Linked DNA regions of Neodiprion lecontei. The protein of the gene in region 1 purifies or fractionates together with the protein of each later gene. This does not show direct contact. Links are inferred from orthologs where the notes say so. Each region holds a gene or a part of one and is shown in the gene's direction. Other genes may lie near its edges. The genes, in order: WD repeat-containing protein 19 and intraflagellar transport protein 122 homolog.

Region 1 (4,973 bases):
AATCATAATTTGTGAAACATTATAATTTTTACTTCGCTGGATGAAATCAATAAAAAATCCGCATTAGATACTCAATTTCTAAGATATTCCTGTTCCAATATCGAGTTTGGATTATGCGTGAAGATAAATTATTGAAATAATAAAACTACAATAATTCCATCTCTCATGTGATATGAAATAAAACAAATAATTGCAAAACGGGAAAACGTACTTTCGGATCAAAAGGTACCAGTGTGTCTGTCGATGATACCAATTCTAACGATAATTAGAGTATGCACTTGGACCTATTTCTACTCAGAAGTTATCTTCATAGTCTGTATACCAATTTGTTGAGAGTATTTACTATCCCTTCAGCTTTGAGTAACATGTAGAATTATTAATTGTTGCATAAACGCGTTGCATATTGTATATCAAGTATTTACTGCCGTATTATTGAATAATATCAAAATTGTGTATTGCATTCATTTGTAACATGTAGACACGATCAATAACAAATTCAAATGATAATATACCTAATTATTGTACCTATAGATGATTTTCTTCTTTCACAAACTCACTATCAATAAGTGATTGAATTAAATCATATAATAAAAGTACGATCGAGAAGTCAAAAGTACGTAGAATAAAATTAAGCCTTCCCCTTTCATCGAATCCTCATTATCACTGAATTATCGAGTAATCAACATATTTGAGCAATAGTATGTAATCCAATGTGCTAAAATAGCAATTCATCAGTGTTCAATAGAAAGGATGATCTATAAGTCTTGCATTATAGGAAAAATATGATCACAATCGCATATCATTGATAAAGGGAAAATTTAACGACCGTTTCAAATGTATATATCATATATTGTGAGAACTGAAAGTATAATTGCATTACAATCCACCCTAAGATGGAACATGATGGACATTGTCAAAAAAGTGCTGAAATTTAACAGCAAATGTTTGAAAGAATAATATTTCTGTAAAGTTCCAGCAATACCATAATAAAAGTCGTATCTGAAACGCTCATCGATGTCAGCCCTCTCTAAAAATGGGTTCTTACTAAAATTCAAACAAATTTAGTCATTCTCAAAGAATAATGTCTTCATGAGATTTTGGCAAAAGTTTCAAGATCGTTCAAAGAAATAACTAATCTGCACAGAACATCTTGAACAAAAATTCATTTAAAACTGTTTATTTGCACAATCCGTACATGAAATTAAACGAATTAAAAAAATTCTAGATTTTTAGCAAGGTTTCAGGCCAAATATCTATTTCGAAAACCGTTTGTTTCGAATGTGGCCGTGCTGAATCAAATACATTCGAATGAGATTAAATGAGATGCCAGATGTTAGTGCTACTTGGCGTAAATACGAAATCTCTTTACGGCGTTCCGAAGGCGTGATCTAGGACCCTATATTCTATAGTCACATACATTCATCATAAAATTATTTTATTTTGTTAAATATTAATGTATTCGTGTAATCTTCAGCAGCAGTTTTGATTTTCCACATGCAAACGTCAAACTTTCGTGAATACTGTCTGTTAGATCGCCGCCATTATTGTTTACCTCATCCTCACCGACGCATGAGGTCCCTGGCGGATTTCCGTCGTACTAAGACATAATAACCACAGAGCTCAACACCGGACCACCTCTTATTCTTACACCGTGGCAGAAACACACCTATACAGTTTCACACGCTAGTTTAAATCTCGATCTCCCTGTTTGCGGCCTTGCATGCGACGCGTCCAAACGCGATACGTAATAAACAACATGGAGATTGTAGTGACATTCAGTTTGAAAATGTGTCAAATAAATCGATATCAGTGTAATGAGTTGATGCTAACATAAACAATCATGACTTCTGTCCCATGTATTAGTTATTAGTAAAGATTCAAGTTGTTTGCCATTTTGCAAGAATGGCATCAGATAAGGTAGGTTATGAATTAATGTCAAACATCAAACTATTACGTTACTTAATTAAAACTAAAGCTCAACAATACGCTTCAAGCAGATAATGAAGAGCTTCATTTATATACATTTTAATTACAAATTCTCACCCCTGTGCTGTTACCTAAACATTTCTTGATGAGGTAAAATATGTTTTTTAAAATCACCTGAATATTGTGTTTTTTTTCTTAATCCATCGATTGTCAAGTATAGATGTTTGCAAATTGAAAATTAACTGTAAAATTAGCACCTGAGTTTTTAATGCTTTCTATATCTAGTCACTATTTTTCCACCAAAGTTCCAAATTTTTATTCTCATATCAGTTCTCTTACTTGAGTTTTACGTGTACACAACTCACTTTAGTTTACACTAGCTTTGTGTGTGTCCGCAAATCGTGATATCTATTTTTGCTTTCGAGTTCGTAAACAAAATTTATGTATATTGGCGACATCTCACAGTAAAACAGTTCTTTCTCATCTCTGCGTATTGTGAATTGAATCGATTACTTCTGTGCACAGGTTTTATACCGCTTGGACCAACCGCATGGTCCTGGAAACGTGTACATTGCTTGGCGCCCTGGCAACGGTACATATTTAGCTACAACTGGTTGCGATTCCGCAGTTGTGATATACAACCGCCAAGGGGAAATACAAGACCGTATTCAACTACCTGGTTTATGTACGGGCATGGGTTGGGATGCCGACGGAGATTTATTGGCTATGATTTCAAACGGATCATCTGCTATTACCTTGTGGGATGCAACGACAGGAAAAAAATCCCAAATAGACACGGGACTAAGAGATAGTTTAACTTGCATGATTTGGTCGAAAAAGAACTGCACTCTTGCAGTGGGTACGCAAAAAGGAAACCTAGCGCTTTACGATCATATTAATGCTAAGTGCGTGACCTTTTCTACATAAAATAGAACAGTCATTATCAGTATATAGATAGCTTTCCAATTATATTGCACACCCTCGATGATTTAAAACTTTATGGATAGGAAAACATTCTCTCATTTCCAATTTATATTGATAAGATGTTACAGATATATCAAATTTTCTTTTTCAGACGCATTCCTATTCTAGGTAAGCACAAAAAGAAAATTGTTTGCGGCGCTTGGTCATTGGAGGGCCTCCTTGCTTTGGCAAGTGAAGATAAGGTATTATCGATCAGTACGTGCGAAGGTGATACACGTAGGGAAATAACAATACAAGGAGAGCCATCCGACCTTCAATTTAGTGAAATGAAAATGGACCAGAGAATCGGCGGTGAAAACACAGTATGCTATCTATTTGATATACAATTTCAAAGAAATTATTAGTTAAAAAAGACTCGATTTTATATTAGAATGCTTTTATCACAACCTGATCCCTTTATAAGATTCGTGTCTCTCAAATCTATTTAAGAAACTGTGAAATTTAGTTTATTCTTGGGGTACAGAAGGTGGGTGATTTGTAATTCAATTGTTGAATCATATCTTCAGTTATTGATAAAAAAAATCAGGTGAAAATTGCTCATAGCAGTAAAATTAATTGATGTATGTATGATATTGGTAAAACGAGCAATTAAAAGTACGAAGCAATTAATAATCAACCGTATTATTTAACAGGTATCGCTCGTCGTCAGCAAAACTACATTATTTTTATACAATGTTTTGGATCCAGACAATCCCATTGAATTGGCGTTTCAAAAGCGCTATGGTCAAATCGTAACTCACAAGTGGTGAGTTCATTATGAAAAATGCATACGTTACTACAATATATCTGGTATTTGATCACAGAAAACGAAAAAATTTAATATCTATATCGCGTATTTTATAAAATGTGAATCAGGTATGGCGATGGTTACATATTGGTTGGTTTCGAGGCTGGCTTTCTAATAGCAATATCAACGCATATCAAAGAAGTTGGACAAGAGTTATTTCAAATCAAAAATCATCGAGATTCTTTAAATGATATTGCACTGAACAATATCGCTGGAAAACTTGTAACATGTGGCGACAATACGTTGAAAGTACACAGTATACAAAATTTAGAAGAAACCAATAAAGTGATAACTTTGGCAGGAGAGACAGGCATCAGTCACGTGGAATGGTCATCCGATGGTAGTATGTTAGCCGCCGCGACGCACAATGGAAACATTTTAATTTATTTATTGCAATTACCAAAAATAACCAGCGTATGTGGAAATAGAATTGCCATTTTAACAAGCCTGACTGAAGTGGTTGTACATTTATATATGCTTGATAAGGTACGTAAACTGTGTGCAAATAATATGGTTAATAATTGGGTGCAAAAATAAGCTGAAAAATATATTAACAATGACAAAAAAAGGGATTCAATCCAATTATTTGTACAATTTTATGTTAAGTACCAAAGTTGATTGGGTAAGATTAGGATGTTTTAAAAAGAAATTACACACCTGTAGCTCCCCATCTGGTATTTCATATCCAGTTTGTATCAGTATAACCATGCTTAAAATAAATGTGACGTTACGAAATATTCATAGATATATTATTATCCGAATATGGAAATAATGACACAAATGAATATTTTCAGAGTAAACCAACACCGCAGACAATCAATACCCTGATAGAACCATCTGTAATGGCTGTCGGTCCTTTGCATTTAGCAGCAGCTTTGAATAACAGAGTATTATTTTGGAATTTAACAAAATTCAATTATGATCACCCTGTACATTTTGAAAGGGATTACTTAGGGACAGTCGAGAGTATATGCCTGAATCAAACTTTTGTTTCCGTTCTGTTTGATGGAAAGCTTCAATTACACACTGTGAGTTTACATTGTGTATGCAAAATGTAAGAGATAAAGAATTAAAATCTTGGCGGTTTTATTTCAGATAGAAACGGAACAGGACTCGGCAAACGGTGCAACTGAATCAAAAATATTTCCACAAACTAACACTTTGGATTCTAAAATAACGTGCCATGCTTTGTCGCCCGACTTTTTAGTTTACGGAAATGATGTAAGACTTTATAGAAGACTCAAATATAAATGCGTAATTTTACATACTCAATAAA
Region 2 (7,915 bases), on another chromosome or scaffold:
AGGTAAAAAATGTAAAATATCGACTATCACTACGTAAAATGATGTTCAGTTAATTAACAGCTACAGATGATTGATCTTCGCAAATAATATTCTTTTTTAAGTCCAACGGGTCGTAGCCTACCTCGCATAAATAGAGAGCGTACGGTGGCAATACTTGAACACGCGAGTCCCAGTTATGACGTGACGGAACTTGTAACATACACCTAATATCTCTTTCCGTAATTTTTCCTAGTCCTAGTGTGATCAGGGTTCCGACCATTCGACGAACCTGCCAAGTTAAATATTGAAAGAGCCATATTAATTATTATTATGAAAATAGGACAAGATAGGGGAACGTAGTGTTCGATTGTCTGACCCATACAAATGATGATCATTACCTGATTATAAAGAAAAGCTCTACCCCCACACCTGAAATCCCAGTAATCGAACTGTGTGGAAAGGGGATCATCAATCATTAAAGGCTGACCCTTCTCCACAGTGAAGTAATCAAGTTGCCGGACATAAACAACCTTTTTATTTTGATACTTGTTCTTTATTTTTCCAGCAAATGTTTGAAAATCTTTAGGTCCGAGGAAAAGCTGAGTTCCCCTTTTTACTCGTTCCGCATCGAAGGGACCAGTATTACTGAAAACGGACAATAGTATTTTATTATACAGCTGAAATTTACTGATAAGTAATTTTTGGATAAAAATCTGTTATAGTTGCGTACCCAAGAAGTGCAAAACATCGATACAGCTCACTGACTGGTATATCCTGATAACATTCTTTCTTAGGAACCATGAGACGATACAAATATGATCGAGACTTGGCTGAATGTCTGGCATGAAAGTCTGTGCTGACTTGGTAACAGGAAGTGATTCTGGGTCGTTAAATTTGATACGTGTCTTTGAAACAGGTAAATAAATTTTAGATCGATACAATGTTGACCAAGATTTGCATAACAGTTAATAAATACACTGACCTGATCGCATGACCATTCTTAGCAAAAGTCTTATTTAGTCTGTGCTTCATATATTGCGTATTGTATGACTCGTTCTTTGGATGAATCAAGTCGATGTGGGCTGTTGTTGACAGAGCATGAACGCCGCTATCGGTTCTGTGAGAATTGCAGTGGGTGTAAAAATTAGGAAATTCTTGAGCCGTGTTCGATTATACTCAATTTTCAACCGCCCCATCGATTTCTTTAATACTCATATTATGAATATGTTTACAACATATAAGCAGCAATTAAAACCTGCTGGAAACTTGAAGAATTGGTTCAGATAGACTTCGGGGTTTAATGGAGTCGGCCAATGCTTCTTCAATAGTGCCTTGAATTGTGCGTATGGACTCTTGTCTTTGCATTCCACTGCAATTGTTCATGTATATTGTGTGAAAATTAAACAAATTAATTAGGTTCGACTAAATTTTACCTACTGTTATAATATTAGTATAAAGCAAGACTGTAATATACAACAAAATATACTAAATCTTGTATAAAAGACGCGTACCTGAAGTGGGTGCCAATATAATTCATGTATAATAAGTATCTTTTCATTTCTTACAGCTAAATCAGTGCTAAGTGATATTAATAATCGAGTAAGCTGAGAAGGCGTCGTATTTGTAGAATTCGGCATGTGGCACGTGAAATTTCCTAACCTAACCCGACTAATTTCTGTTAGGTTAAGGTTGAGTCCATAAATGTTGACAGGTCTGAAGTTAGTAACGTTAACGTAAAAAAACATCATGGAATAAATCGTAGTACAATTTTAGAACGACTTTCAAGGAGTTGACTTTTCAGTATATGAACATATTTTATTTGTTATGATTTAATAGCTGAATTTCAGTCAATCCTAAGGGTGCGAAGTAAACATGCATCGTTAAAGCAACGTTACTAAGTTCAACCTCATAAATGTTGAGACTTTGAGACTAGTATTGTAGAGTGAGGTTAGAACGCCACAGAAATCTGGATCACGTTGCCCCGGTAACCGGTTTAATTTGCGAAGTGTCAAAAATCAAAACAAACTACTGATTCGACCCAGTAGCGTGCGCTTATTAGACGTAAATAGCAATGTATATATGCATTTGGGTAGACTCAAGTGGTTAACGGTTCTTGAACCTAAATTACAATGACAATAGGCTGCTAAATTCATTGCTAGTGAACGAATTAGAGAATAGAGGCATCCTTTTTATTACACTGAAGTTATTAAAATGAGATCTCATCCTACATGGGTTGATAAAGTTCAAGATAAAACAGACCAATGGTAAGTGATCAATAACAGCATAAATTTATATACACGGCAAACAATTGAACAAACAATTATGAGGTATCTCAGTATTTCACTGTTATATGCAAAGTTTGTTTAATCTGTATGCATACTCTTGTGTATACAGCATTCAAATGAAAACCAAAGTTTGCATAGTATTTTCCACATGCAAACGCATTCATAAACAGTTTTTCCTTCTTCTTTCTTAATCCTCATTATTGAATTGATTGTTCCCAAATTTATTTCAGCATCTATGATCTCTGCTTCAACCCAGATGGAACCCAATTAATAGTCGCTGCTGGCAGTCAAGTCCTTGTCTACGAAACCAATGATGGTGCGCTTGTACAACCACTCAAAGGTATATTATCCCTATAATTTATTGCTCAATATAACACAGATCATGCCCTTCCTTTTCCACTATTATACCAGATTGTGCAGCATTTTAATTAGTCAACTAAACTAGATTACAAATCACGATTAATTCAAATCTACATTTTAGGACACAAAGATGTCGTCTATTGCGTTTGCTACGCGAGAGATGGAAAGAAGTTTGCGTCTGGTAGTGCAGACAAAAGCGTTATTATATGGACTTCCAAGCTCGAAGGAATATTAAAATACTCGTAAGACATTACTAAAGCTTTTTACGCCGGTTCGTTTTTACGTAAGCCTTTGTATGTGCCAATGAATAATGCAAAGCAAATTTTTTAGCCATAGTGAAGCTGTTCAAGCGATGCAATTTAATCCTGTCTCGCACCAGTTGCTCAGCTGTGCACTTTCCGACATCGCATTTTGGTCCACTGAACAGAAGGCTGTGCAGAAGCTGAAGTCTGGAGGAAGAGTAAATTGCTGTGCTTGGACAAAGGATGGACAGTACTTGGCCATTGGACTTGCGCTGGGATATGTTTCTATCAGAAATAAGGTTCGTCCATTAATTATCTCAGATTTTTAATTGAAACGTAATAATGTTGAAAGATTGTTTCCAGAACGGAGAAGAAAAGACTCGAATTGATCGTGCAGGGGGAACGCCAATCTGGAGTTTGTCTTGGAGCCCATTGAAGTAAGCTGAAATATTTCTGGAACATTCTTCTCACTAAAGAATCATTGGAAGTGTCAATTTTATTTTTACCGACAACAGGGACGATTCTGTGGACGTGTTATGCGTCGCTGATTGGGGCGGCGGTCTTTCCTTCTACACTCTGGCTGGAAAAACAGTGAGCAGGGACAGGTCGCTGAATTTCATTCCACTGAATGTAGCCTACTTTCCTGACGGACAATACATTCTTGTAGCTGGCAGCAATAAACGCTGTTTATTAATGACCCATGACGGCATTCAGCTGGCTTCGATTGGTGATACTTTTTCATCCTGGGTATGGAGTTGCGCCGTTCATCCAGGATCCTCACACGTCGTGCGTTCAATTCTATTTCTCAATCCCATTGAAATTTGCAAATAGATTTACAGTGGCTAACATCTTTTGTGTCCCAGGCCATTGGTTGTCAAGATGGAACAATAACGTATTCTCAATTGTCCTGGAATACTGTTCACGGCTTGTACGGAGACCGATATGCATATCGAGAAAATATGACTGATGTTATAATCCAGCACCTGGTTACAAATCAAAAAGTTCGAATTAAGTGCAAAGATTTGGTAAGCCGTACTTCAAGTTTTTTTCATTATTCCTACGTCTCCAACCTGGATCGAATGAAATTGCACGATTGTTATTTCAGGTCTGTAGAATTGCAGTTTATCGAGATAGACTCGCTGTGCAATTACCTGAACGAGTGATCATATATGAACCTTCGGGAAACAGCGAGGGAATGCACTATCGCATCAGGGACAAACTTCCTCAGTCCTTGAATTGCAATTTGTTAGTTGTAACCACAAACCATTTGGTACTGTGCCTAGACAAACGACTGCAGAGCCTAACTTTTACTGGTATTATTGAAAGAGAGTGGATTCTCGATGGCGTTATTACCTATATAAAAGTCGCCGGTGGTCCATCAGGTCAAGAATGCATCATTGCAGGTTGAATTCATTTTTACGCTTACCAGATTGATATTAGCCTAACAGTAATTAATAATGAATAATAAACTTGTCAATATTATATTTCAGGATTGAAAACCGGATACGTTTCAAAGATATATCTCGACAATCCGTTTCCAGCTCAGCTGGCAAAAGTTGAAGGTGCTATACACTGTCTAGATATTAGCCCACTCAAAGAAAAGTTAGCCGTAGTAAGCGACACGGGTTTGCTTACGGTGTTTGATCTAAATACAGAAGAAATATTACGAGAAATCCAAGATGTTACAAGCGTTGCATTCAATTCCGTGTTTGAGGATATGATGTGCTACTCAGGGAACGATTACTTGGCTGTAAAAGTCGCTGATTTTAACGAATACAAACAAAAATTTTCCGGCTTTGTTGTTGGGCATAATGGGTCCAAGTTGTACTGTTTAAACGGAGCGGCGATACTGACGGTAGAGGTATGGTTCCAAATATGTAACTCGCAAAACCTCTTTTTAACTTGTTAGGCTAAACTAGTAACAGTGACTAAAGATGACAATGAATTTCAGGTACCAATGTCATCATCTATGTATCAGTACCTAGAAAGAGGAATGTTTAAAGAAGCTTTTGCAATAGCTTGTTTAGGCGTAGCTGAAGGTGATTGGCTCGCTTTGGGGACTGCTGCTCTGGATCACTTAGAACTGAACGTAGCATACGCGGCGTTTTCGCGTATTAAAAAATTACGTTATATCGATATCGTTTCTGAAGTTGAGGAAAAATTGAATTCTGGGGAATGGGGTCGAGAAGCTTGCATGGCTACTGCGGCCGCGGCAATGGGAAAACTTCGAGAAGCTGCAAGACTGTATCAGAAAGCTGGACTTCAACAATACGCTCTTAATATGTATTCAGATTTGAGAATGTTTGATATAGCTCAAGAATTTATCACCAGTGGTAACACTCAGGTACATGAAAGACAATTTTAATTTTTTTTGCTCTAATCTCATTTTACAAAATTTAGGAATTTTAGCCAATGATCTTATGTCTACATCTCAGGACCGAACAATTTTACTGAGGCGAAGAGCTGAGTGGGCAAAAAGTTTGGGAGAACCTCGAGCAGCTGCAGAAATGTTCCTCACTGCTGGAGATGTTCAACGAGCCATTAATATCATTGCTGAATATGGTTGGATCGACATGTGTGTATTAGCTGCCTAATTTAAAGTCCAACAATTTTCTTTTCTTATACATTGATCTTAACAATTCAGGCTCATCAAAGTTGGAAGACAACTGGATAAGGCCGAGAGAGACAGTTTGTCTATGATAGCTAAAAAACTGAGACAGTTAGGCGCGACGCATGGCGCTGCTGAAATATTCAGTCGATTAGGAGATGATCCTGACGTCGCTGATGTTTTGATAGACGCACAAGCATGGCCTGAGGCGTTCGAACTGGCGGAAAGAAATCCAAAACTAAAATCTCGCGTATATGGACCATATGCAAGATGGTTAGCTGAAACTGGTCGTTTTTCTGAAGCTCAAGAAGGTACGATACGAAATTGTTCTCTGTTTGATTTCTCGTTAATAATTAAATATTTCAACTGATTTTATATGGGCAGCATTTCAAATGGCTGGTCAACCTGAGGAATCGATATCTGTTCTCACACTGTTAGCCAAAAATGCTGTGGCTGAAAAAAGATTCCGCGATGCTTCGTACTTCTATTGGATCCTTTCACAACTCAGCCTCGATTTGAGCAAGCGTACCGACGAAATAATGGCAACTTTTCAAATATATTATGATAAAGCTGATATTTACTACGCATATAACGAAGTTTACAAATATTTGGTGAGTTGTAATTCATTTGTTGATGACTAATCAGTACAATAATCGTAGGATGTCTTCTTACAATGTTATACCTTCATGTTTCAGGAAGAACCATTCACCTCATTGATGCCGGAGGCTTTGTTCAATATATCTCGATTTTTGCTAATGAAAACTCAAGATATACAAGTCGAAGGAGTATCACAGTTCACCATAACTTATACACTGATTAAGCAAGCGCGTATTCTCGGTGCCCATAAATTGGTAACACAGCTCTTTGAGCGATTACGGGGTATGAAAATTCCTGCAAGTCTATTATCGCAAGTGGAGGTCTCAACTTTGGCAGCTAGGGCTTATCCTTACAGCGATCCTGAAGAACTCCTACCTCTTTGCTACCGCTGTTCTACCTTCAATTCACTTCTACCTTCCAACAACATTTTTGGAAATAAATGTGTTCAGTGCGGACTTAAATTTCAGCATTCATTCGTCATGTTTGGTAAGTTCAAGTCAAAAGGATACTTTATTCGTAAATACTTTCAAACTGTAGATGGGGGAAATAAACAGAGAGACCAATTCCACTAGAAATCGTCGATTATTATTTTGTATATTCATTCCGTCAGCGCAATATTCTTCTTATTTAATGTGAATACCTCTTGCCTATCCAGAAATATTACCTATAGTTGAATTTGAGTTGGAAGAAGGAATCACTGACGAAGAAGCCAAAAGATTAATCGAAGAGCCAAGACCTCTCTCTGATAGTTCTTTGATCAGTGATAATCAACTCACCATACCTACGCCCGTTGGCGACCTGTTTACAGCTCGCTTGATACGATACGAGGTATATATCACAATTCTACAAACAATTTATATATATACTCTCTTGTCGTTCGTAGCTGCAATTATTTTTCAGAAATATTACACAAATTTTCAATGTTCGCAGGATAAGACAGGCGAATCAAGAATTACCGTTGGTCGAGGTGTTTTAGCAAGTATAGAACCGTCCAGCGTACTAATTGCACACTGGCCAAAACCCTTCAAGACCAGATATTTCAGAAATCTTTTGCCGGATCTTCAAATAACTTTGTGCAAATCATGTTTAAAGGTACCGTTAACTTGGGGCTTATTTGTTAGTGCCCGAATTCTTACGAGCCACTAAAGATGCTTTGAAGAAGTATTGTAATTAATATAACGAGAAGTGTGTTTATGATTTTTCAGTTATTCCATTCAGATGACTACGAATTGGCAATATTGCGTCACGGCCACTGTCCGTTCTGTAGAAGTTCACAGTTACCTAGAGCAGAACAAATTACAAGACACGCAACGTGAAAAGGAATATCTATAGAAAACAAGTCACACCTCATAGGAATAAAGAAATGATCAATCTATTTATTTATCGACTGTTAGCAAATTAATTTCAGCTCCCTTTGTTGTTATAAATTTTAAACAATTATGCATATCACGCTATTTATTGTTTGATAACGTCAATGACCAGTTCACAGTAATATATCATAGTATTGAAAAATTCAGTAATAGTTATAGAATGAATAAGTAAACGTATACCTAGCGGTAAAATAAGTATAGTCACAGTTATCCAAGAAAGAAATTACAGTTGTTGGAAATTATCAAGCACATGATAATTGCTCCAACAGCTAAGTAAACAGCACTCCGTTACCGAGATCTCATAGTGGCGAGTGATATCCTACCTTTTCAATCAGTTGTACGGAACTGTAAAGATGTTCAGCGTGTTGCTTGCAGTGATTTTTGCCGTCGCAACGATAGCATCTGGTCAGAGTGCTGCCTGGGATCAATCCCTGGGAGATGCAACGACATTTCAAGATGCTCCATTGGAGCGTC

Evidence for each region.
Region 2: the proteins of WD repeat-containing protein 19 (region 1) and intraflagellar transport protein 122 homolog purify together in Homo sapiens (affinity purification with mass spectrometry; 4 studies listed by BioGRID and IntAct, counting the BioPlex papers as one, with this or other methods). This does not show direct contact. The link is inferred for Neodiprion lecontei from reciprocal best matches to the Homo sapiens genes WDR19 and IFT122.

Annotation. Positions count from the first base shown.
Region 1 is NC_060265.1:8,950,242-8,955,214, forward strand, and holds the start of WD repeat-containing protein 19, read left to right. Parts: upstream 1-1,691; 5' UTR 1,692-1,902; coding exon 1,903-1,917; intron 1,918-2,451; coding exon 2,452-2,831; intron 2,832-3,001; coding exon 3,002-3,212; intron 3,213-3,542; coding exon 3,543-3,655; intron 3,656-3,765; coding exon 3,766-4,183; intron 4,184-4,491; coding exon 4,492-4,725; intron 4,726-4,792; coding exon 4,793-4,918; intron 4,919-4,973. UniProt on the Homo sapiens protein: As component of the IFT complex A (IFT-A), a complex required for retrograde ciliary transport and entry into cilia of G protein-coupled receptors (GPCRs), it is involved in cilia function and/or assembly.
Region 2 is NC_060261.1:2,456,823-2,464,737, forward strand, and holds intraflagellar transport protein 122 homolog, read left to right. Parts: upstream 1-1,811; 5' UTR 1,812-2,190; coding exon 2,191-2,243; intron 2,244-2,494; coding exon 2,495-2,604; intron 2,605-2,745; coding exon 2,746-2,866; intron 2,867-2,954; coding exon 2,955-3,165; intron 3,166-3,229; coding exon 3,230-3,303; intron 3,304-3,381; coding exon 3,382-3,652; intron 3,653-3,729; coding exon 3,730-3,891; intron 3,892-3,971; coding exon 3,972-4,269; intron 4,270-4,356; coding exon 4,357-4,727; intron 4,728-4,817; coding exon 4,818-5,210; intron 5,211-5,301; coding exon 5,302-5,441; intron 5,442-5,510; coding exon 5,511-5,785; intron 5,786-5,858; coding exon 5,859-6,085; intron 6,086-6,169; coding exon 6,170-6,557; intron 6,558-6,726; coding exon 6,727-6,899; intron 6,900-7,001; coding exon 7,002-7,163; intron 7,164-7,276; coding exon 7,277-7,387; 3' UTR 7,388-7,418; downstream 7,419-7,915. Other genes in the region: tRNA pseudouridine synthase A, read right to left, coding at 50-268, 378-624, 710-859, 962-1,096, 1,235-1,348, 1,491-1,537; uncharacterized protein LOC107221624, read left to right, coding at 7,795-7,915. UniProt on the Homo sapiens protein: As a component of the IFT complex A (IFT-A), a complex required for retrograde ciliary transport and entry into cilia of G protein-coupled receptors (GPCRs), it is required in ciliogenesis and ciliary protein trafficking.